3 linked regions of the Rhinolophus ferrumequinum genome follow. The protein of the gene in region 2 interacts with the protein of the main gene of each other region in a pairwise test. Links are inferred from orthologs where the notes say so. Each region holds a gene or a part of one and is shown on either strand. Other genes may lie near its edges.

Evidence for each region.
Region 1: the proteins of GFAP (region 2) and ZC2HC1C interact in binary tests that used the Homo sapiens proteins (3 or more experiments, as listed by UniProt). The link is inferred for Rhinolophus ferrumequinum from reciprocal best matches to the Homo sapiens genes GFAP and ZC2HC1C.
Region 3: the proteins of GFAP (region 2) and PDLIM1 interact in binary tests that used the Homo sapiens proteins (3 or more experiments, as listed by UniProt). The link is inferred for Rhinolophus ferrumequinum from reciprocal best matches to the Homo sapiens genes GFAP and PDLIM1.

What each region holds. Positions count from the first base shown.
Region 1 is NC_046289.1:23,538,350-23,546,617, forward strand, and holds the start of ZC2HC1C (zinc finger C2HC domain-containing protein 1C), read right to left. Parts: upstream 3,147-8,268; 5' UTR 3,033-3,146; intron 2,056-3,032; 5' UTR 2,037-2,055; coding exon 708-2,036; intron 1-707. Other genes in the region: DNA mismatch repair protein Mlh3, read left to right, coding at 3,405-3,567, 7,772-7,869.
Region 2 is NC_046304.1:39,784,347-39,792,108, forward strand, and holds the start of GFAP (glial fibrillary acidic protein), read right to left. Parts: upstream 3,515-7,762; 5' UTR 3,483-3,514; coding exon 3,013-3,482; intron 2,145-3,012; coding exon 2,084-2,144; intron 1,893-2,083; coding exon 1,797-1,892; intron 1,021-1,796; coding exon 859-1,020; intron 1-858.
Region 3 is NC_046299.1:28,006,436-28,014,673, forward strand, and holds the start of PDLIM1 (PDZ and LIM domain protein 1), read left to right. Parts: upstream 1-5,092; 5' UTR 5,093-5,238; coding exon 5,239-5,334; intron 5,335-8,238. UniProt on the Homo sapiens protein: Cytoskeletal protein that may act as an adapter that brings other proteins (like kinases) to the cytoskeleton. Involved in assembly, disassembly and directioning of stress fibers in fibroblasts.

The DNA of each region.
Region 1 (8,268 bases), on a different chromosome or scaffold from region 2:
AACTTAATTGTGTTTCATGTATTTATTTAGAAGGTATATCAAAATTGAGCTAACTTTGGAAAAGTAGATATGGTTATAGGAGTGGTAATAAATCCTAATCTTGGGAGGTGGCAGAGAACAAAGAGCACGGAATTCACTCAAGATGGTGAAGTGCTGAATAGCTTTTTTTTTTTTAATATATTTTTCATGTCTTTAAATTTTCTATAGTAAATGTGTATTACTTTTAGAATCAAATGGATATATATTTTTTAAGTCTAGATTTTGGAGTCATTCTGACTCAGATTTAGATGCTGACTCTGTTATTTAAAGCTGTTTGTGATCTCAACCAAGTTAACCTCTCTGAGACTAGATTTTTTTAATTGATAAGAGATAATGAAATCCTCACTTGGTTATGGCGAGGGTCACATGAAAAGCTCCGGTCACAGTGACTGGCACACAGTAGTAATCAATAAATGTTAATTCCCACTTTCTCCCTACATGACACATTTTTTCTTTACAAAAATCTGATGATATACAGAGGGTGCCCAAAAAATGTATACACATTTTTTTAGAAAGGAGAAAACTGTATTAAAATCATAATACTCAATAGATACCGATAACAAAAGATGAATACAAGTCGTGTATATACATCTTTTTTGGTACCCCTGGTATATAACAGGTCCTTACAATGATCCCCACTCAAAGTCAAATCCATAAGGCCCTGTTACCTTGACTGAGGCTGGTCCCTTCCAGTTCAAGTACTGCTCTAGTTCTGTGCCCTTGGCCCGGGCCCTAGAGGAGTCAAACACTTTCCTCTTGGAACCATGTATCCTGCTGCAGACGTTGGAGTGTCTCTCCAGCCTGAGCAAGAGAAACTTGCGTCCACAGTGGCTGCACTTGCCAAGTTCTGGCTCTTGAGTGGAACAGCTGGAACCTGAAGAGTCTGGTGCCTTAGACAAGCTAGAATGGCGTGTGGATCCTGGCAAAGCACTGCCCGGCGCTTCTGAGGGCTGAGAAAAGTTCTGCTTCAACGGCCCCGAGACGTAGGCTCGGATTTTGTTATTGCTTGCCATTAGTCTTTCCCTTCTGAGCTTCTGTATTCCATAATCAGAAAAATGGAATGGACTAGAATTTTCTTGAGACCGTCCCCAAGTTTCATCCTCTTGCCTGTCTCGACCGAAGACCTCCTTAGACCTGTTTTCTGGGGAGAAGATAGGTTTGTACACAGTGTTGCTATTACCTTTACTTCTCCTCCTGGGAAATGTCATTCTCTGTGGCTCTCTTTTTGCCTTTTCCTCAGCCTGTTCCTTTTCTTTATGGATCCTTCTGAGTTCCTCCTCTGTCTTCTTCAGCTTTTCCCTTAGGAGGCTCTCTTTTCTTCGGATTTCCTCCTCTAAACTTTCTCCAGCAGCTTCTAGTCTTTGGATCTGTGTCCATTCAGTCCCATGGCGGTTTGGCATGGCCCTCTTCTCCTGCGTGGCAGCAACAGTACCAACCACAGATGAACTCACCCAGTTCCTTGAACCCAAGCTGCTGTATGAAAACTCTCTTGGCTCAGGGGGTCTGGGAGAGACATTCTGGTCCCCATCAGTGCCAGTCTCACGTGTACTACAAGACTTCCGATGGAATACGGGTTTCAGTGGGTATGCCCGGTCCACTCCAATTCGTTTCTTTGTAAAGGGGATGAATTCCTGGTTATGTGCTTTGGGGTACTGGGATTGAGAGCTTGATGAGTGAAACAAACCCTTTGCTTGGCCCCAGAGATTGTTTCTGGGATCCTGCTGGCTGATTCCAGCACAGTGGGGATGGTAGTAGCTCTGGGCTTTGGTGCAGGCGTTCCATTTGGAGTGAGTGTACAGATTATCCAGCGCCAGCTCATTGTTGCTCAAAAGCTTCTGCTGGGAATTGTTCCTCAGGTGCCCCATCGAGGAGCGCTGGGAAGAGCCATCTTTTTCATAGTGGTCTTGCTTAGCGGAATGGTTCCCTGGGGCATCTGCCTTATTATATGGGAGCATAACGCCCACAGGCAGAGGTGGAGCCAACTGGAGACCAGCCATTCAGGGCCTGGACTGAAGCCTAGGAGAGATTAAACCAGATATATGTGAGAAGTTTGTCTGAGGTTCACCCTGGTTGCTTAACTCAACTGTTTCTATCATACATTTGTCCTACCCACATTTTCCTTTAAACTTTCTAGGGACAGTGGTACTGGGTCTGCCAGAGCTCTCATTCAATAAGCATTTGGTGAGTGCTGATTATGTCCTGGGAGTGCATGTTAGGTCCTGAGGATAGAAAAATGAATGTGATATAGGTGTTCCTGCCACCTAGCTTTCCTTTATACCAGTACCAGCCTCTGCCATACAGTGCTGCGCCTGCCACACAGAGTATAGGCCATACTCGGTGGAAAGAGCTATTGGATTTGAAGTCAGGTTGTAGGCCTGTGACACAAGACGAGCAACTTCCCCTTCTGGCTCCAGTTTCTTCAGTACTCCTGCGTGGTACTGTTGCTGCCACGCAGGAGAAGAGGGCCATGCCAAACCGCCATGGGACTGAATGGACACAGATCCAAAGACTAGAAGCTGCTGGAGAAAGTTTAGAGGAGGAAATCCGAAGAAAAGAAACTGAGTGGTTCCCTCAGAGTTACATGACTGGAATTTAGGGACCTCAGGATTCCAAGTCCAGCCCCATCCTTTTACAGGTGAGAAAACTGCGGCCTAGAGGTAAGTGCCAGGGCTTCCCTCCTGCTGGAACCATGCTTGACTCCAAGGAGCACAGACGCTGCCCAGGGCCTGCAGCAGGGGCCTGGCTATCAAACCCTCACCCAACGAGTCCCCGCGGCTCAGAAGGCCAGGGGTTTGTAACTGAGAAGCGGGGGCCCCCTGACTTGGCCGCCGTGGGTTTTAGATCCGGAACGCGGAAGTCACGTTCCGTTCTGGAGGATCAGGCGGGGCGCCCCACTGGGGACTCTGCTTTGGGGACAAGCCCTCGCTTTTCTGTCTATCGGGCCTTTGGGAGGTCGAGGTGCTGACCCCACGTCTCCCCGTCCTCTCGCCTACCTGAGGCTCTCCAGGACAACTCCTGCTCAGGGGCAACCCCAAGACTTAGTTTTCCGGACCAGAACCCTACCAACCGACCGCCGCGCAGGCGCTCTCAGCTGGCCCCTGTTATTCCCGTTGCCTAGGAACGGGGTCGCGTGCGCTCCCAGCCCCGCCTCTCGCCTCTGTCGCCGCGGGGAAAGCACGCACAGGCGCAGTCCCGCGAGCGGTAGGGAGCCGCCCCGGAGGGAGGTGAGGTGCGCCGGGGTGTCACTTGACCCGGTGTCCGGCCAACTCTACAGCTTCGTCCAGCCCAGCCCTTGGGGAACAAGGGAGGGGACGGGAGAGGTTTTTCTGGGGCTCCATCAAAGAACTAGTATTTTTCTGAGAGCGATGACCCCAGACCCCGTGGTGTGCCCTTCTCGGGCAAAAGACGGCGCCCCTAGATGTGCCCTGGAGTCGTTCAGCCGCAGGATTCCGATGTCCGCCCCCGTAGCGGTAGTGAGCCTGCTGATAGTCTTGCTTAGCACGCTCGGCTGCTTCGTGCGCGCCCCAGGTATGGCTACACTGTCTCTCCGTGCTTTCCCTCACCAATAGTTTGGAGCTGGCGGTGAAATTATAGCAACTTGGCTAGGTTTTGCTACGCAGTATCTTTCTGGGATAGTTTTGTAGCCAGTGTAATTATTTTGATACGGTGTCTTACTCTCACGTGGTAACTCTGGCCGTCTCTTCATAGAGCCCAAGAATGACTCAACCACATGTAATGATAATAAAGTTAACTACTAGATCGAAAATAAGCAGTATAGCCTGGCTTCAACAGTAAGTGATACTCTGTGACCTGTTAACATCAGAAGAGTTTATTTGCCTTCATGCTTCAGTTCATTTGTGTAAGCTGTTTGGAACAGGCAACTGACTTTTTCCTTATAACTACGTAAAAGATTCATGCACATGGACGATAATATAGACAGTAGTAGTCACTGTTAATACTTCAACATATCATTACAGCTTTTACATATTACAAAGTAATTCCTTGTTGGGCCCTCCAGGGCTTTTCTTTTCCCCCCTTGTTTTCTTTCCTGGTTGACTCCCTATTTGCCTTCTTTATAGGACTCCTATATGGAGTTCCAGACATTTCCCACTCTTCTCAAGAGTCCAGTTATCTCAGCAACCCGCCTGCCTGTCAACTTCCACAGCTCCCCTCTAGTCTGGCCGAATTTCCTGGAGTGCTGACTTCCATCTTGACTTCCTTCTTGTTTTTTGAGGAAAAAGAATCTTTCTCTTTCCATGTGTTCTATTGAATGAGTCCCTTTCAGCATCCTCTAGGAATGGACTCCATGACTTTACCCCTCCATCTTGTTAACGTCAAGTTGTATCAATCCATATACTTTGGTTTTAAAATATGCTTAACTTCTCCTGCAAAACGAACCTCATTTCCCGTGACCTGTGGCCCCTTCCCCTAGGACCCCATTTATTTCTCCTCTGCTCCTCAAGACTTCTTAGTAGAAATTTTACATTTGCTGGCGCCCCTTCCTCGTCTCCTCTTCATTGTTCAGTCCATTGTGGTGTGGCTTCTACCCTTTCCACTTTGTTTAACTGCCAGGCTACCAGTGACTTTCCAATGACCAAAGACAAAAGCTGCTACTTCTTCAGCCTATTCATTTAACATTACTGACTTTTTACTTCCTTGGAACTCTGTTCTCACTTGATCCTGTGCCTTCTTGGCTTCTTTTTTTGTGTTCTTGCTCCGTCTTCTACAGGGCTATGTCTTTTCCTCACCTGTCCCCCAAATTTAGGTGTTCTCCAGAGCCCTCTTATTTCTCATATACATGCAGTTCCAGACTGCATATGGTTTCAACCAAATACTGAAATTTCAGGTGTCTTCTATGTTTAAATGGCATCTGGCTTAGCTCTCTCTCCTTGGTTACAGACTCAGATCTCCAACTGTCGATTTCGTTCCTCAGGAACCTCAGACTCAATGTAACAGAAAACAGACTCATGATCACCTCCCCACTCCCCCAATCCACTTCTTCTTCAGTGTTCCCTCTCAAACTAAAAGCATCAGTCACCTTCTACATCTCCCTCTTTGTCACACTCCCCTCTAACTGGTCAGCAGGCTCTGTTGAATTTATTCTGCAGTGTCTCTTATATATGACCCCTCCTTTACATTTCTACGACCCTAAGTGAGTTCTTGCTCACTTCTCATTGGGACGGCATGCATCACTCACCTAACTGCTATTCTTCCCTTCAACATCTGCATCCCAAGCCCATCCTTCATGCTGCTGCCAGAATAATTACCTACATAGTAATATTATTGTCCTACCCAGTGGCTTCTACTTTACCTATAGAATAAAGTTGAAACATGTAATCTGACATGGTATTTCCACCTACCGGATTAGGTCCAACCTACCTTTCCAGCCCTGCCCCCCCCAGAGTCTAGCCCAGTGAATCTCAACCTTGGCTGCGCGTGTTGTGCATGCTGTCCGTGCTTTAGCACTACCTGGAAGGCAATTTCTGGGGGTATCATCTGTATATCAGCATTTTTTTTTTTTACCATTGTGAGCAATGCTGTGATGATCATTTGTGCAATACCTATTTTTGGGATGGGTATCAGCATTTTTAAAAGCTTCCCTCCAGATCCTAATGTGCAGCCAGGGTTGAAAACCCCTGATCTAGCCACCCCTGACTAATTGCACTTTCTTACCTCAGCAGTACTACCTTACCCCAAGCTCCACATACTGGGAGGTGGTAGACATAGAATTTATGGGAGGGGGCTCTGTACTCAGACTGCCTGCAATTAAATCCCAGCTCCATCACTTACTGGTTGTGGTTGTGTAACCTTGGATAATATTTCCTCCAAGAATGTCTTCCCCATCTTCCCAGTCAAAATTAATCTCTTTGTTCCTTTATGCTCTCATGATGTTTTCTGTTCTGGTTACACCACAGGCCTGGCTTATGAGGAGCTCTTGATTGGTGTTCATGGAACTGAATTAGCATGTTGTACATTGTATTGTCTTTATTTGCATGCATGTTTGTTTCTTACACTAAATAAAAAACTCTTTGAGGACAAAGATTATATATCATTCAAATAATCTTTATATACCCTACAGTGTCCCATAAATAGTAGACACTCAATAGGTCTTTAATTCTATTGAGAAACTAGTTTTTTTAAAATGAATTTTGGAGAAAGAACACCAGCCAATTACTTTGTTTAGCATTATTTTCAAATATTGCCAAGCATAACATCCAATCCAGCTTCCCACCCTGCCCCCCACCCCTGTGCTAGCACTAAGGTTATATTTTCCAGGATCCAGAGCCTCACTTTGTAGTGGGGAACTAATGGAATGATTCCATTGCAAATCCGTCTCACCTTGCCAAGTCTGCCAATGTGGCATATTCACATATGGAGTCTTATGTTATGAAGGGATGTAATGTATACAAGCAATCCAAAGGGAACAGTAAACACAGTTTTCCTGCATACACATTCTTAATCACAAGGATAGCTGTATTCAAATGCCTACAAGGTGACCCTACTTTAAACAATCATCACGCACAACACCCCTTGACAATTCCCTTTGCCCAGAAGAAATTTATGCAATTTGGTCATTTGGCTTACATTGATTGATTCAATTGTGGTTCTGGAGCCATGGGTTATTTTGCTTGTGCTTGGGATTGATTTAGATAAGCGTTATTTGGAATGAGCAGCTTCCAGAAGCACAGAAAGAGAAATAACCACCCCTAGGACCTCTTACACACTTATCCTCGCTACTCCTAATTCCAGACTTAGGCATGACTTAAAATTTGAGAACTGAAAGAAAAAGTCAGTGCAGAAAGGTTGCATGTATTCTATTCAATTTGTTTGTTTATAATGTTTAATGTTTATTGCCCGTCTCCCATCTCCAGAAATTAAGCTCCTCTGGGCCAGAATCCTTTTGTTCACTGATGTATGTCTACCTAGAACTGCGCCTAACACACAGAAGGCTCTCAGTAAATATTTATTGAATGATTGGATTTATCTCAAGTGCTTCATCGTCTATATCTTTCTCCCCATGAGAAAAATGAGAAAAGAGGTGCTCTTGGTGACTGAGAAGGGTGAGGGCTCGGTCCGTAGAATCCGAGTTGAGAGTTCCTGGACAGATCCCCAGCCCTAGGCTCCCGAGAGGTCCCAGACAACCGGCCTCGAAATCCCACCCTCTGGGCGGGCTCTGGGCAGAGCCTGCCGTCCCTGATTGGTCAGCAGACATGATGGGCATGCGAAACAGCGAAGGAGGAACCCGCGCCCTGAGCTTCCGGGCGCGGCGGTTACGCGACTAGGAGAACCGTTGCGGTGGTGGTCGGGGTGTTGTGCCGGACTTAGAGGGTGAGCGTAGGACGGGACCCGGGGCGTGCCCATCAGTTCAATTGGCCCTAAAGTGTTGCTAGAAGGAGATTCTGGCGGCCGCGTGAAAGCCAGGTCCGTGGGAAGAGGAAGGGATGGAGAGGGAGCAGGACTGGTGTGGGGAGGTATTTGGCTAAACAGGTAATTGTCTCAAAAGAGGCCTCTGTGGGCAGTCGCGACCCGAAGCTCACTTGCCCAGGTGTCTTCTTCACACACCGTCGCTTACGCGTGTCCACTAGCGTACTCTGGAGTTCGGGGAGCTTAAGTCAGGGAGAGGTCGCAGTGGTTAAGAAGTGTGGATGTGGCCCTTTCTGCCTCAGAATTGGGGTTGCTGACGTAGGATAATGAGTTCTGTTTACTTTTCTGCTTTTCTGGTTTCTGACAGGTTTGAGCATGAGTATGGCAGAAGGGGACACCCTAATATCGGTGGATTATGAAATTTTTGGGAAGGTGCAAGGGGTGTTTTTCCGCAAGTACACTCAGGTATGTGGCCTGTAGACTTTGGGGACATGCCTAAGTTATTTCCTGACCGATGTGCATTGGGAGACGCTGGCTATTTGGCAGCTGCATGGCAAAGAGGTGGTTTGTAGAGCAATGGGTATGAAAATGCTTTGGGTAAAATACAATGCTGTTAGTTTTGGTCTCTTCTAACAGTAGTACTTGAGTACCTAGACTCATATTAATAAGCTTCTCTCTCTTCCAAAGGGGATTAGAGGGCTGCCCTAGTTCGCCCTGTTATGGTATCATCAAATCAAGTTACAATTCTTGCAGAAAAACTAATGATGATCAAGAAGATGGCGTTTAGATGAACTCGTAACATTTATGTAATTGCTTCCTCTGTAGCTGCTGCATTTTCTTCAGAACTCTTTCTCTTCTTCAACC
Region 2 (7,762 bases):
TGGGTGCTAATAGCCCTCCCTCCCCCAGCTTGCAGTGAATTCCTCATGGCTCCCATCGGCCTCAGTCTGCTCAGAACCATCACTGGCCTCTGCCACTCACACTGCTCAGCTCGGTGCCCTGGGCGACCATCTCTGGGCCCCCACCTCTTGTGCTTTTCAGTCTCCAGGCCTCTGCACAGGCTCTGTCCTGCGCTCAGAATGCCCCTTTCCTTTTCTCTTCATGTCCATAACCTGCCAGCCCTGCTTAGGCCAAATGCCCTTCCTTCTATGGTACCTTCCCTGATCCCCACATTGCATATAGACTCTGCCCTGCAGTGTTCTCTACAGACACCATGTGTGGTGCCCAGCACATTTCCCTGCTCACACATACCTCTGTAGCCTGGGCAGTGTCTGGCATGCAGGAGATGATCAACAACCCAGGACACAGATGGCGGAGGCATCAAGAACGCAGGCTCCCAAGTGAAATGGCAGGGGTTGGAAATCTAGTTTTAACCCTTAGAAGCTGTGTGACTTTGGGGAAATTAGTTAACCTTTCTGGGCTTCAGTTCTCTCATCTGTCAAAGAACAGTCCCTACTTCATAGTAAGATAATCCATTCAAAGCAGAGGGCCTGGCATACAACAGTGTTTAGTAGCAACTAGTTATAGTAACAAATATTACTCCTATTTATTATGATGAAAAATAATAATAAGTACTTAATGGTACGTATGTGACCCTGGGCAAGTCACCTCACTTCTCTGGTGAAGGTCAGTCACCAGAGAGGATCCTCTCCCAGCTTCCTCTACCCTCCTTCCCCAATTCTCTTGCATGGAGCCAGGAGGGCTGCCTGGAGGAGGCTGGCTGGCCCAGTCAGGGTTACCTTGGACCGGTACCACTCCTCCGCCTCGTGCATGTTGCTGGATGCCACGGCCTCATACTGTGTACGGATCTCTCTCAGGGCTGCTGTGAGGTCCGGCTTGGCCACATCCAGCTCCACATGGACCTGTTGCCGAGCCAGCTGCTCCTGGAGCTCCCGCACCTCCTGGCCCGGGTAAGAGAAGGGATAGCGGGGCTCAGGGGAACAGGCTGCAACCGGGGTTCCCCACAGCATCAGATCCTCTTCTGCCAGCCCCTCGGACTCAGACGTTGGCTAAGGGGAATGGGACAGTCCCAGTACATGGGGAGACTAGTCCAGGTTAGGGGAGGCATGGGCTAGTTTGGGGGCCTCACTGTCCTCCTCCCAGGCCTGGACAGGCAGGAGCACTGAAAGTGTGCCTGGGTCCTCATGGGAGAGTGACTGAGTCCCTGTGGGGAGTAGGTGTGCCTAGGGGTTCCCAGGGTCCATAGGGTCATGGATGCTGAATCTATGATCTGAGGTCAGAGCTCAGAGGGATCTTTTTTTATTATGAATGGTTCTCACTTAAATGGAGAGAGATGGCAGAGGGAGTGGAGTCAGAGAGACTGCCTGTGTGACCTTAGCCAGTTTTTTAACCTCTGAGCTTCAGTGTCCTTCTCTGTGAAAAAGGTAATACTGGAAGGGTTCCTATCTCACAAAGCTGTAGTGAAGAAAAAATGAGGCAACAGGCCCTTGTAATTCTCAGTAAGTGGAGTGTGTGTCTGTGTGCATTTTACCAGGGGCTGTTGATGTTCTCATGTCTGTCTCTGTCTCCCTCAGTCTCTCTGTGCATCTGTTTCTCTTCCTGTATTAAATCTCTCTCTTTCTCTCTGTCAGTCTCTGTTTCTTTCTCTCTGTCTCTGAGTCTCTCTCTCTCTGTTTCATCTCTGTGTTGTCCTTTCGTCCCTCTGCTCCAGCATTACCTCCTCATGAATCTTCCTCAAGAACTGGATTTCCTCCTCCAGAGACTCAATCTTTCTCTCCAGGTCCAGGCGGGCCAGGGTGGCTTCATCTGCTTCCTGGAATAGGGAGGAGACAAAGGGCTGCTGTGACTCCAGACTCTTCCTCATTCGCTAGCTTTGTCTGATCTCCCCTTCTGGAGCTAGAAAAGCAGCACATTGCTCGGGAGGGTTGGGCTTGGGGCTGTGTTTGGGTGGGCTGCCATCAACACTTTCCCCCCTCCTGTGCCCCACCCCTCCACCCTCCTGACCTGTCGATAGGCAGCTAGGTTGTTCTCAGCCTCCAGCCTCAGGTTGGTTTCATCCTGGAACCTGGGGTAGGGGGACACATTCCTGGGTCAAGGCTCTTCTGAGGACTCTTGGACCCCGGCCCCTGGAGGTGGCTGCCAGACAGACCCCCATGACAAGTGGAGTGGCAGGAGGAGTGAGGGGCAGAGGGGTCTTACACAGAACCTTGGCCAGAAGAGTGAGCAGAGAAGCGCCTTTGTTTCAACTCATTACTAAGGGGCCTTATCAGGGTTGCTGCACCTGCTGCTGCTCACACAGGCGCTTCCACCAACGTGCACTCACTGCTGCACGCACAAACACACACGTCCTCCTGCACTCCAGGGCACAAATGCATGCTGGGCCAGCTCAGCAGAGCACCAAGCCCCTGGGGTTTCCTCTGGCCTTTGGAAATGGATTTTATTAAGATCTCCGCTTCACGGCTGTGCATGCTGAGTGCCTTGACTCTGATCACGAACTGGTGACAGGCAGTCACCTGTGTTCTGAAGCCAGGCCTGCCTGCTCTTTCCCGCATTCCCTCTACCCCAGAGCTCCGTCCTCCTCGTGCAAACCAACCTTCCCTTCCAATTCCTCCTTTAGACAGACGCAGGCTCAGAATCGGTGAGTTCCCCGCCCACGGTCACAATGCCCCACAGTGAATGAAAGGCACAGGCCCTGCCTGCTGGGGTCCCTGACTACTGCACAGGGCTCCCCGGTGTGGAGGTGCTGACGGTCTTTGGGAATAAGATCCCTGAGGCTCTGGGCCTTCTTCCAGTCCCTCCCAGAGGAGCAGAAACCAGGGAACAGGGCGACAGAGGCCCCTCCCTCCCCAGACCCAGCAGGCCTGCAGGCACTTCCTCTTAGGGGCTCAGTCCTCCCTGCTCACGAGGCCCCTCTCCCCTGGCCCTCTCCTCACTTCTGCCTCAGGGTGCCCAGGTCCTGTGCCAGATTGTCTCTCTCTGCCTCCAGCCGGGCGTTGCTGGCGGTGAGTTGATCAAGGCGCAGGCGCAACTCGCGAAGCTCAGCCTGGTAGATGTCAGCCAGCTTGGTGGGCTCCTTGGCACGCAGCTGGTTCAGCTCAGCAGCCAGCGCCTTGTTCTGCTGCTCCAGGAAGCGCACCTTCTCGATGTAGCTGGCAAAGCGGTCATTGAGCTCCATCATCTCGGCCCGCTCACTGGCCCGCGTCTCCTTGAAGCCAGCGTTGAGTGCCCCAGCCAGGGAGAAGTCCACCCGGGCTGGGAGTGGGGGTGGCATCCGAGCCAGGGAGAGGCGGGTTCCAGGACCCAGGTGGCGGCCACTGGGAGTCAGGCCTCTCACCACCATCTCGGAGGAGGAGACATAGGAGCGGCGCGCAGCCACAGCTGAGGTGGCCCGTCTCCTCTCCATCCTGGTCTGGCTCTGCTGGCTCCTGGGATGTGAGAGCTTTATGGAGGAGTGGGCTGGCCTGGCACTGCTCAGACTGCCCCTGGCAGCACCCTCTGGCATAGCCTGAGGGGGTGGGGCTGGGCTGCATCCCAGCCATGGGGAGAGCTCCTCACCCCACCAGAGGCAGGGCCTCCTGGGCACAGACAGAGGTACGGATGGGCAGTGCCTGGGGCCAGATGTGGGGCCTGGGGCCTGGTCACTGGGCAAGAGACCCTCTCTCTAGGAAGGTGGGTCAAGAAAGGGCTGGACCAGTTGACCTCTGACCTTCCAACTCTTACATCCTATAACCCAGGCCTTCCCTCACTCAGCACTCCTCCTTCTAGTGCCTGCTAGGTGCTGGCAATTTGACAAATACAAACCTGTTCCATACACTCAAGGAACCGTGTATGTTACAGATTCCTGCTGAGCCCCGTTTCCAACAGATTGCTGGAGACCTCCCCTCTGAACACAGGCAGCCCACGTTCTTGCTTTCTCCCCATTCCCTGGAGTTCTGAGACTCTTGACTAGAATTGGACACCAGCCCTTTGCGGGGTCAATTGAGGCCTCTGTCTAACAGAGGGGGGATGATGGAAGGAACTTGGGGGTCCTGAGAGGGCAAGAGGGAGCAGGCACTGCACTCTCTGGCTCTCACCCTGGGCCACTCTTAAGCCCCCGCCTCGGTCTCACCCTCCCTCGCCCAGTGTCCCTGCACCCCATCCCCCGAGCCCGCGCCTTGACAACTCCACAAAGCAGTTATGAATGAGCTGGCTGTCCCTATTCCCATCTTTGTTCCTGCAATACCCTGTTTCCCTGGCCACCCCTCACCTCACTCTCACTGGAGATTTATCTCCTTCGAGTTCCCACATATCAGGCTGAGAACATGGGAAAGGCCTCTGGGATGGTGGGTTTGGGAACCCAGGAGCCACCGGGTCTAAACTGAGAACCTGGAACCTGGACCCTGTTGCCCCTTGGGTCTTCAAATCTCTCTACCCCTTCTACTGTCATCTTGCAGGGTTGGCACCCTGCACGGACCCCCACCCATCTGTGTCCTTGGACCTCTGAGAAGCGGGCAGCCTTCTTCTCCCTGCCCTCAGTCACCCTGCCCAGGACCCCCACCTATCTGTGTCCTTGGACCTCTGAGAAGCGGGCAGCCTTCTTCTCCCTGCCCTTGGTCACTCTGCCCAGGACCCCCACCCATCTGTGTCCTTGGACCTCTGAGAAGCGGGCAGCCTTCTTCTCCCTGCCCTCACTCTGTGCACTGCCCATGCCTGGGCCTCTGATGCTTTTTCCCGGACACTTGCTGAATGGAGCCTTGTTCTCCACCGCCAGTGAGGGCGCCACACAGCAAAGGCGGCCCCCAGGGGGATGTGCTGTTTTTACCCCAAGATGCCAGGCTGTTAGGCGGGGTACAGCCCAAGCCCCCTGTTCAAAGAGCTTCTCGGAAAACATCTGAGGGGGGCTGGGGCGCAGCTGGGAGCAGGCTCTGTGCCCACCCCTGGCCATTGTATCTGTGCCAAGGTGAGTCATTCAGTGGGCACTTGGGGAAGGCCCTGGGGGGTGGCCAGCCCAGCATTGCCAGGTCTCCAGCTCCGCAGACAAGGCCTGACTGCTCACCCTCTCCCCAGCTCTCAGACCCAGCCCAAGCCCCTGAGCCCCAGCCCAGGCCATACCCTTACCCCACGCTGGGAGAGATGCTTTTCATTTGGGCATGATATGAGCTGCCTGCTGAGGTTTCCCCTGTGACTCTTAGTGCAGAGAGAAGAGGTAAGAGTCCCTATGTCTCTAGCCAGGGCCAGAGCAGTGACATGGGAAGGAGAATCTTGAGGAGAGGGCGCCTAGTGACTTTTGATCCAGCTGTGGGTTTGGGAGCTGGGGAAGGACAGGGCTTCTTAAAGGAAGAGCAAGACTGGGGACAAACCCTTATCCTGTTCTCTGTGGCCAGGAGTGGCTGGCCTTCCAGCTTGCCGTGCAAGTCACAGTGTATAACCTCCTCTTCTTGTAAATGAAATCTAGTTGAAATGAGTGCCACGCAGCCCTGGAGAGAAAAGATAGAACAAGAGTAAGAGGTGCCTGTCAGTGATGCTGAATGATGCGTGAGATACAGGTGTGTTTCAGCAGCAGCAAATGGAGGCCCCACTTTCACCCCCTTCAGCCACCTCCCTGGGCCCCTGTCATAGGCCCAGGCTTCTTGCTCCATCTTTAAGCCCCATCCAACCCTCAGACCCATCCCGGAACTCAGCCTTTACCTATCTCAAGATAGGTAACAGAGAGCCAACTAGGGAGAAAGACTTGGTTGTGATTGTGTGCCCCACTTTCATTACTTTTTTATTACACATTCATTGTAGAAAAATTAGAAATTACAGATACACACAGACACACACACAAAAAAGGGAATTAACCATAATTTTGCCACCTGGAGATAAACACTACCAGATTTTTTCCCCACACATATAAATTCAGTTTTTTACAAGTGGGCTCATGCTGTACAAATTACTTTGTAATTTGCTTTTTTTCAGTCAACAATATGTTGTGAACATTTTTCCATATCAATAAATATTTATCTACATCATCATTTTAACAGCTGCATGGTTTTTCACAACATGCATTCATTTAACCAAATTATAGTTATGTTCTCTCTCTCTCTCTCTCTCTCTCTCTCTCTCAGATCACACTATCATGCACACCTGCCCCATCAAATGGTGCTTCCTCTCTTGCTTCCCCAACCCGAGGGCCTCAACATCTGGAGCCTCAGGCCAATCCCTAGACCACCTTCTGGATTAGACAGAAAGCTAAAGGCCAGGGGGAGAGGATGCCTGGGCGCCCCGCACAGGGCCTTCAGCCAAGCCGTGCCCTGCTTCAAGCTGAGATGAGAACGAGGTGACCTCCTACTCGCTGTGCCCCTTCCCTATATCAAAACCTGCCAGGATGCCCTCTTACCCACAGAGCCCAAAGGCCTCCAGACCAATACCACACCTGGCCTCAACGCACACACGAGGTGCCCAGCATTTTCCAAATTTGCCAGCCTCTAATTCAAGTGGCTGTTTTGCCATTGGACTGCTGCCCACTGGCTCCACTCAAGCCCCTGCCCCTCTCCCGGTGCCTGGCACAGCATGGTGGGCAGCAAACGTGGGTGGGATGAAAAGAATATGGGTCTTTCTGGCTGACCCCTTGCAGACTGCTGAGTCTGTCCATCTTATGGCCCAGCCCTAAGAAAGGGAACCTGGCGCTCACGGCCACTAGATGGCAGTGCTCAGCTGCCCAGGTCCTAGTGGCTGTGAGGCCGCAGCCTTTCAGAGGCAGGGACAAAGCGGTCTCAGCCGTAGTGGGCAGGCTTTCCAAAACCCAAATTTGTATCACATAGAAGAAGCATCACCCCCTTATTCTCTAGAGTTGCCTCTGACTGCTATGGCAATGCCCTCTAGGTCAGAGAGCAAAGCCATGGCCACTCAATAGCTGTATGGTATTGGCTGACTTCCAGAACCTTCTGAGCCTCCATATTCACATCTGTAAAATGCGGACTCCCTATACTTACTTCCTTGGCAGTTATGAGGATAAAATCGGTGAGAGCCAGACATAGCAGGCGCTCGACAAATCATAGCTACTATTTCATAACACCTACCAGGTGCTTCACATATCTACATGTTAGCACATTTGTGATGGGGTGAGCTCAGAGGGGTGGGAGCTGGGTCCACCAGAAGGGCTGCCATGTCCTATTGACTCCACTGGGGATGAGGGAGGGACAGAGGACAGTGTGTGGGCAGCCCCCTACTCCGACCCACACACACACAACGGGCAGTTACTGGCAGTGTGGATAGGAGGCCGGGGGTAGCACCCAGTGAGGAGAGTGTGGGAGTCAGCACCGTTTGGCCTAGACCACTGCTGGCTTAGCCGTCAGGGGACACATACAAACTATCTCCACCTGCCCCAGAGGAGACTCAGAGCTGAGGCTGTTTCCCAGCCTGCTTTCCCGCCTCCCTGTCTCCTCCATCCTTGCTCTGCCTCAACCCGAGACTACAGGCCCCAACTCTATTCAGTTTGAGAAGTTCTTGGTGTGTCAACATCTCCCATAGGAGTGGGTCTTTTCTGCACCTCAGCCTGAGGCTTCCCAAGGAAAGGGGCCGTGCCTCCCCCCATGGATGGGACTTCCTAATGCTAAGACCTATGTCTCATCAGACTGGGATCACCCTAAAAATAAGATGTCTCCCACTTCTGACTAAGGTACCCACAGGACAGGAGTCACCCTCTCCCCTTGGATGGGAGCT
Region 3 (8,238 bases), on a different chromosome or scaffold from region 2:
TACATTTTGTGTGTACGTGTGTGTTTTTGTCTCAATTTCTCCAATATAAATGTTTAATATGAACCACTTTATGATCCTGTTTTGGAATATTTTCTCAATATTCAGTCATGCTTGAGAAAATGGTAGTGGTCCAGGGTTCTTTCTGGCTTTGAGAACTCTGGTGCCACCTGTTCAGGTGGGGGCCACGAGGCAGGTGGGCAATATAACTGCGGCTCTTGGGTTGTCCCCTAAATTCCTTGTCTACTAGGCACTGGGCTGGCCTCGGACCACAAACTCATCTGTCCACGCCCTTACCAACCCGGAGGGAACTCCAACCAGGTCTGGTGTACAGGTGTCCTTATAGCGCTACGCGCCACGGAGCATGCTCTGTGCCTACTAGAATCTGAGAGGCACCCAATCCCCACTGGCCACTTCAGTATTTCCTTTGGGCTGAAGCAGGAAGCGGGAGAAAAGCAAAAATTGGGTGCCCAATTCTCTATCCAGGCCCTGGCGCAGCCAAAGGCACCTCCCATTGCGCATCCCATCGTCAGACTGTCCTGGAACCGCACACCGCACACGGACGAACCGCGCGCGCGCGCGGGATCCCAGCAAAGAACTGCACTGCCCTGGGAGCCGGGTTGGTGGTTGAACGCGCGCGACCAGACCTGCGGAACCGGACCTGGCGGCAGGAAAAGATGTTTTTGTTCCGCGAGTCTTTGAGCTTGGGTTTCGGTTTTTACAGAAAAGAGAAAACATGCCACTCGAGTGTTATTTGACCAGGGCGCCCTCCGCAGTTGCGCGGGTTTGGGGACGTGGGAGCCGCTGTGCGCCTGGCCCGGCAGCCTCCAGACCAGAGCTTCCGGCTGTCTCTCGGTGCTGGGCAGAGCCGGCCTCAGATCCCAGCTTGGGCGTAGAGTCTGGGAGTCACCCACACGCCCACTTGGGTGGGGGCCTAAAACGCTCAGCCCCAGAGGAGGGGTCCTGGCAGCGATCTCCAGGAATGGGAGCTCGGCAGTCACCTGGGCGAGTTCAGGACTTGTCCTGGAGATTAAATAAGATCATGTATAAAGTTTAGCACAGTTCTCATCTCTGTTCTTAAGAAATGGGACTGTTGTTTCAGGAAGCAAAGTCTCCGCTTAGTGGCTCTGGAGAGTCCTGGCAATGACATCCTGGTGCGGGCATTGCCAGCTCTGCAGAAGCCAGACTGGGGGAATGTGCCAGCAGACGCCTCCCACCCTGTCCATGTTGTAAAACTGGACTGACAGCTGGAAAGACCCACTGTCCCCCGCCACTCCCACTTCCGGGACCATTCCTCTGTCTTTTTCCTGTCCTCCTTGCTTCCATTTCTCCAGCAGTCTCCTACATTCTCCCCTTCCCCCACTCTACCCCTCTATCCAGATATTTGATGGAGGCTGTTTAGGTCAACAAACTTTTATGGAATGCATTATAATAATAACAAGGCAACTAAAGTTCAGAGAGGTTGTTTAAGGCCTCCACAGAAGTCAAGGGTCTGAGGGAACTGGGGAGTATGGATAAATAAGTAATGGTGTTTAAAATTAGACAGGGTTGCTGGTGTTTGGGGGGGTCAGAGCTGTCAATGCGTCTGGGTGTTTTCTGAGTACATGCTGTGCGCCCAGCTCAGAGCTAGCTGTTGGAGATTAAAAACATAGAAGATGAGGTTTCCTACCCCCAGAATGACTGACATGTAGTCTCCGATACAGGGCACTGAGACCATTTTATTGATTTTTTTACATCATCATTAGAGGAAATTATTTTTTAAAAATTCCCCAATTCCATCTCCCAATAGAAAGTTAGTTTCTGTACTTTTTCCTAGTTTTTAGCAATAGGAAGACAGTTTTTTATTTTTTTAACATAAAACTGACAATAATATTTGCTTTAATAATTTTGTTCTGCTTATTTTTACACTTTCTGAAAACACTTTTCCCTGTCTCCTCAGAGCCGTCGTGGCCGTCATTTTCATGCTGCATAGTATTCCCTCATATGGCCATACCATATTTAGCTACTTTTCTGTTACTGGTTTATTCCAGTTTTTTGTTATAAAAAATGAGGCTATAAATATCTTTGTACATATAGCTTTTTTCTTCTTTTAAATTATGTTCTTGGTATCCGTGCCCAGAAAGGGGATGACTGGGTCACAGGGTTGACTGTTTTAAAGCTCTTGCTATGTAGATCCAGACTACATCTGAGAACATTTAACAACTAAATGAAGCAGCTGAGGACTCACCGCCCTCACAAATGTACTACTGCTCTAATCTATAAAGAATATTGTGTAGAACAAGAACTCTTGGCACCTACGATGTATCAGGTGTGTGCTAGCAGGACACACGGGGATGAATGAGAGGCAGCCCCCCCCCCGTGGGGGCCACAGGATAAGGCTTTTCAACCCTTTTCTCCTTCTAGGTCACAAAATATTCAAAACTGCTACACATCTAAGGCCAGACTCAGAATTTGGCGATTCCACAAAATTCTGCAGGGGCTTGAAACACTAACATGTTGTCTGATCAGCAGAATCTTAATCAAAGTGGGTGGATTTGGGGGTTCAATGAAGCAAGTGGCGGGTTCCTGGCTTTAACTCCATTCCTTTTTCTCAGATTCAAGAAAGAACATCAGGATGCAAGGGGACGGGAGGGATGCATAGATAACCCAAATCCACTCTGATTTCTAAATACAAGCAAACCATTCCTAAACATAGGCATTTGTGCTGAGATGCAATCAGACAAGTGAGATGATCCTTTGGTGTGTAAATCTGTGCACAGGGCTCCTGGGTAGGTAGGCCTGCATCACAAGGAGACAACCCTGCTTTTAACAGACATTAAACTCGGTTCCTGGGCCCAATTCCAATGTGGGGAGTATCCCCCCACCCCAACAAACAATTCTCAGACACCATCAGGGTGTCTGGGAATTCAGCTCAATTCTAACACTATCTGTCTACCCGGAGAAAGCATCAGATTCCACAGGCTAAGGGTTCAGTCCTACAAGATTGCTTCCCCCATCACACACACACACTTCGAACTCATACTTGTGCTTCTGACCAACTGGCTACAGACTAGAGGTTTCAACGACCCCCTCCAACTCATGCCGATCACAAGTCCAGGTTGTTACCTGTACTTTAGACCAATTGGCTATAAATCAGAGGCCCCCCCCCCCTTTGGATTAATTTGCTAGAATGGCTCACAGAACGAAGAGAAACATGTTACTAGATCACTGGTTTTTTTGGACAAGGATATGACTCAGGAACAGCCAGGTGGAAGAGATGCACAGGGTAAGGGTTGTGAGAAGGGGCTCCGTGCCCTCTCCCTGCCCACCACTCTCCCAGCATCTCTATGTGTTCACCAACCCGGAAGCTCTCAGAAGCAAATTCATGGAACTCAAAGAGGAGGGTGGAACCTGTGAGTTAGAGTCAGTCTGTTTTTATGGAGGGTTCATTACATAGGCATGACTGATTAAATCACTGGCCATTGGCGACTGATTCAATCTCCAGCTCCACTCCCTTTCCAACAGGTGGGGGTGGGGGTTGGGACTGAAAATTCTCAACCTCTAATGACCTCGTTGGTTCCCCTAGCAACCAGCCCCCCTCCTTAGATGCTTTTTAAAGGTCATTTCATTCACATAACAAAAGACACCTTTATCATTCTCAACACTTGGGAAATTCCAAGGTTTTGGGGAGCTGTGAGCCAGGAATTGTGGATGAAGACCAAGTATATATGAGAAATACATTTTTGGTCATCTGAGTGACCAAATACATGTTTTTTATAAATCACAATCTCATATACATTAAGCATGTGTTCTGTGTCAAGCACTGCATTGGGGTCTGGTGCCAGGATGAATGAGTGCCAAGAAAACTATGAAGAACCTGGGTCCCAGAAGAAGGTAAGTGGTCAAAAGAATGGACAATGCATTGCATTCATTGAATACTATGTGCCAGGTACTATTCTAGGCACTGGGATACAGCAGTGATTAAAACTGATAAAAACTCTACCTCCATGGAATTAATGCTTCGAGGTGGGACAAATAATATGTAAAATATTGAGTATGTCAGATAGCAAGAAATACAGTGGAGAAAAGGATCTCGACAGGAGATCTTAAGTAGGGAGCTCAGAGAGGATGACATCAGAACAAAGAGGGCCAAGGGATGTCTAGGAGAAGAGTATTCCAGACAGAGGCCCTGAGGCAGAAGCAAGGAGGCCAGGGTGCGGTGGTGGTGGTGGTGGTGGTGGTGGTGGTGGGGGGGGGGGGGGGGCATCTGGAAGAGATGAGGTCAGAGGAGTTGGCGTCATTGTGGGTGGTCTTATAAGCATTTTAAGGATTTTGGCTTTACTCAGAGTTAGGAGGGGACCTAGTGGACAGCGTGAGATACGGTCTGGTCTGGCGCGGAGAAAGCACTCAAGGGACGAGGGTGGCAGGGAGGCCAGATGGGAGGCTAGGGGCAGGCTGGCAACCCAGGTCTTCTTACTCAACCCAGTGCCCGGGGCCCGCCCCTGACTTGATGATTGAACCCTTGGGAAGGTCAGAACCTACAGGGAAATCCGGCCTGGAGGAAAAGTTTTTCTAGGAAGGTTTTGAAGTCCAATTATAACAACGTGCGATGGTCTCATTAGCATTAGAAAGTTCCTGTCTGGGCTTCCTTAGCAACCGGAGCCCCGGACTGGCAGCTGTGTGGCCTCGGATAAGTCTTCTAACCACAGGCCGACACAGTTACAACGGCTGTAAAATGGAGCTAAAAGCTCTTGACTGCTTCATAGCCTCAAATGAGATCATTCGAAAGCACCTTTAACACATCATTCTTTTACAAAAAGCAAATGTGAAGATGGAGCTGCTCTCAGAGGGTTGAGTTTGCACAGCACTTCTAAACTCGTTTTAAAAAGCGCATAGATCAGGTCTGTCGGAACATGCTTGCCTCTCACCTAGTGCCCTGGGCGGTGCTGGGGTCCGGGGCGGAGCTGCTGGGAACTGGGCCCCCTAACTAGACTCACCGCGCTCTCGGACCGACTTCCAGCTGCGGCCCTCGGCGGGCCACGGGGCGGAGAACCGTTGCGGGCCGTAGGCGGGAGGACGGGCGGGGCTGGCGGCCTGATCCCGGCCTGGGCGGAGCCGCCCCCGCCCCTGCTACCGCCCGCCCCCGGCTCCCCTGGCCAGCGGCGCACGCTCTTTCTCCTATAGCTTCCCCGGGAGCCCAGCGCGTCGCGCCGCGTCCAGTCGCGTCTGTCCCCGCGGGTCAACGCTCGCTGTCGCCTCGCCATGACCACCCAGCAAATAGTGCTCCAGGGCCCGGGACCCTGGGGCTTCCGCCTCGTGGGGGGCAAGGACTTCGAGCAGCCTCTCGCCATTTCCCGGGTAAGAACAACCTGGGACGCGAGGGGAGCAGGGTGCTCCCAGCCTGGGGAGCGACGTGGCCCGCAGGGGACCTGGGAAGGCTGGGGCCCGGCGAGCGCTGTCGGAGACGGCGGTTTCGGGAGCTGGGGACGGAGCTGGGACCTCGGGCGCATCCAGGTGCGCCGGGAGCGCTTGCGTGGAGCGCTTTCCGCGCGTCTCGGGCTCGTCGCCCCCGGCAGCCCCTTCCCTGCCGCTGCGCTCCGGGGCGAGCCGGGCGGCGGCCGGGCGCGCACTCGCCAAATCCGCGAAATAGAAGGGAGCAGTTGGAGTTCCTTCGCCCCGGAAGCGCGGCCGGGCGTGTGGACGCGCTTTGTGAAGCGGCGAGGGTTTGGGGGTCCCCGCGGATTTCGCACGCTGGGGAATAGTAGTAGCACTTCTCGGTTCTTCACAAGTCGCAGAGTGGCGGAAAGTCGTTTGGAAGCACCCTGGACGACCTGGAAAGGGAGGTGGAGTGTGGGGGGCGAGTGGGATTAACTTTAAACACACAACCGAAACAACTCGTTTCCCACTCTTTGGATCTCAGCCACGGCCTCGTCTCATCTCCCTAATTCCTTTTTGGAGAAAAGGTGAAAGTTTGGAAACCATAAAGCCCGGACAGATCCTCTTGGACATACCCTTCCCCCTGCAGGAGGTGGCCATGGCCATGGACATATTTCTTCTCAGCATTCCCGGATTATCAACGGATCAGCCCTTTCCCCACAGGGATACTTAAGTCAAAGGAGTAACTGAAAACTTCTTAGAAGGGCCTCATCTCTGGGAGGGCACAGGTTCAATCGGAGACCACAAGAAATCTCAGAGACCCAGACTCAGTGTTTGGAGGCCCAGGCTTTGGTCATCTGGTCTGGGCTAAAGGCAAGCTTGGTGTCCCACTCTCCGAGAGTGGCCACATTCAGTGCCTGCACCTAGGAGGGGACCAATAAATATTTTTTGACTGAATGATATTTCAGTAAAGGGAGCAAAAAAAAAAAAGCACCCCCTGTTGTCCACACCTTGCCTAAAGGGCTCACATTCCATTCTTGGGCCCATCTATTTACTGACGGTGACCCTATACTGGCCTCCCCAGCCATCTGAATCTCTCTCTTTTTGCTTGGAGGGGGTTATGAGGGTGGGGAGGGAAGGGGAAGATCCCTACGGCTGCTTTTGACTTAGTCCCCACTTCCAGCAGCTGAAGGAGTATGTGGGAAGTGCAGGAGGAAAGGAATTAGGCGCCTACTCTTGGCTTCTCTGCTGCCCACAGTCTTACCCACATTTCTTTCCAGGTGGGCCTAGTGGATTTAGGGAGTCTTCTCTGACCATCCCACACTCTGCGCCCCACAAAAGGCGATGCCGTATTCAGTTCTTAGGCCCTGTCTCCCCCCTGTCTTCCATATGCCATCCCAAGGTGACCTCTTTGATTATTCTCGCAGGCACAGGCTGTCTTCCCAGCCACTGAATTCCTCAAGCGCAGAAACTGTGCCTTCCCCTAATCCGAACCCCCAACCCCAAGCCTGACACAGAGCTGAATCTGGCCATGCCCAGTAAATCTTTGCAGGCTTATTAATAAATGCTTGTCCAGGGAAGGCACATTTAGACTCGCTTACCTCATAGTCCATTTGTCCCTGCTCTTTGTGTCTATAATTAACCTGTCAGCCCTCTCCACTTCTGAAATTATTATATATGCCATGAAACCTTTTTTTAAGAAGTAGAAGATATATTGGCAATTTGTTAAAAGGGCAGTTGCCACCTGGCATTTTAACTACTTTAAAAACTCTCAATGCAAGTGGCACTGTGTGGGAATGAAGCTATGTGGTGGAAAACATTGTAAATTCATTAGTTTGTACCTCCGTATATTAATTATTTATTAGCACATGTTTAATGAGCATATACCATATTCCAGAAACTGTGTAAAGCCCTGGGGTCTCAGAAATGAGAGGGCACGACTCCATTCTCAGGTGTGCAGCGTCTAGTTAGGGAAGCTAATCTTGATGATGCCCTTGGCAGGTGCTTTAATTGAAAAGTGAAAGTGGCTCAGGAGGTGACAGTCTCATGGTGACAGTAGTTTCCTTGTTTCTTACTCTCATTATTTCCACATGGAAAAATGTGGGCTTACTCCTGGTAATGGGAAAGTCATTGTCCTGAGGAGGTCCTGAGGGGACCATCTGAGATCTGGTGCTGGTTTGGTGTCTGCTCCTTACTTGAGCTGTCCTGGGATGAGCCTTCTGTTGTCTGAAGCTGCCTTCTTTACCTCTGCTGTGAGTTAAGGAATCTAGAAACGGTGACTAATCGTGAGGAGGTGTAAGCACTTTGAGAATTACACCTTCTGGTTGGCAGGTGTGCTACGTTTATCATCCTAGGCAGATAGTTTGCTAGAATGGTTTTGTATATATGTAGACTTTGAGCCTCCACACCAAAGCAAACCATAAAATTAGGCTGGTAGAGGAGTGCCTTTTGTTTAAATAACTATATTTGCTTTCACCTACATGAATTATTCTGGTATTGGCCCTAGTTTTTTGTTAAACTGCTAACGCCTCTGAATATGATTCTGTAATCTGTGTACTTGAAATTGTTTTTTTTTTTTAACTTATTTTTTATTGTGAAATAACAAAGTCATAAAATATAAATGCATAGCAAGCGATTGTAAAGTACATGTTTAATTACCAACCAAGGCAAGAAATAAAACATTGCCGGCACTCCAGAAGCTCACTACACATAACCCTGTCCTGACTTATGTAATCACCTCCTATGGAAAAACCTTGTTTTTCTTTATAGTTTTACCATCTAAATATGCATCCTGAAAACTAGAGCTTAATTTTCCCTGTTTCTGAGCAGAATCATACAGAACACATTGTGTGTGTGTGTGTGTGTGTGTCTGTGTAGCTTACTTTC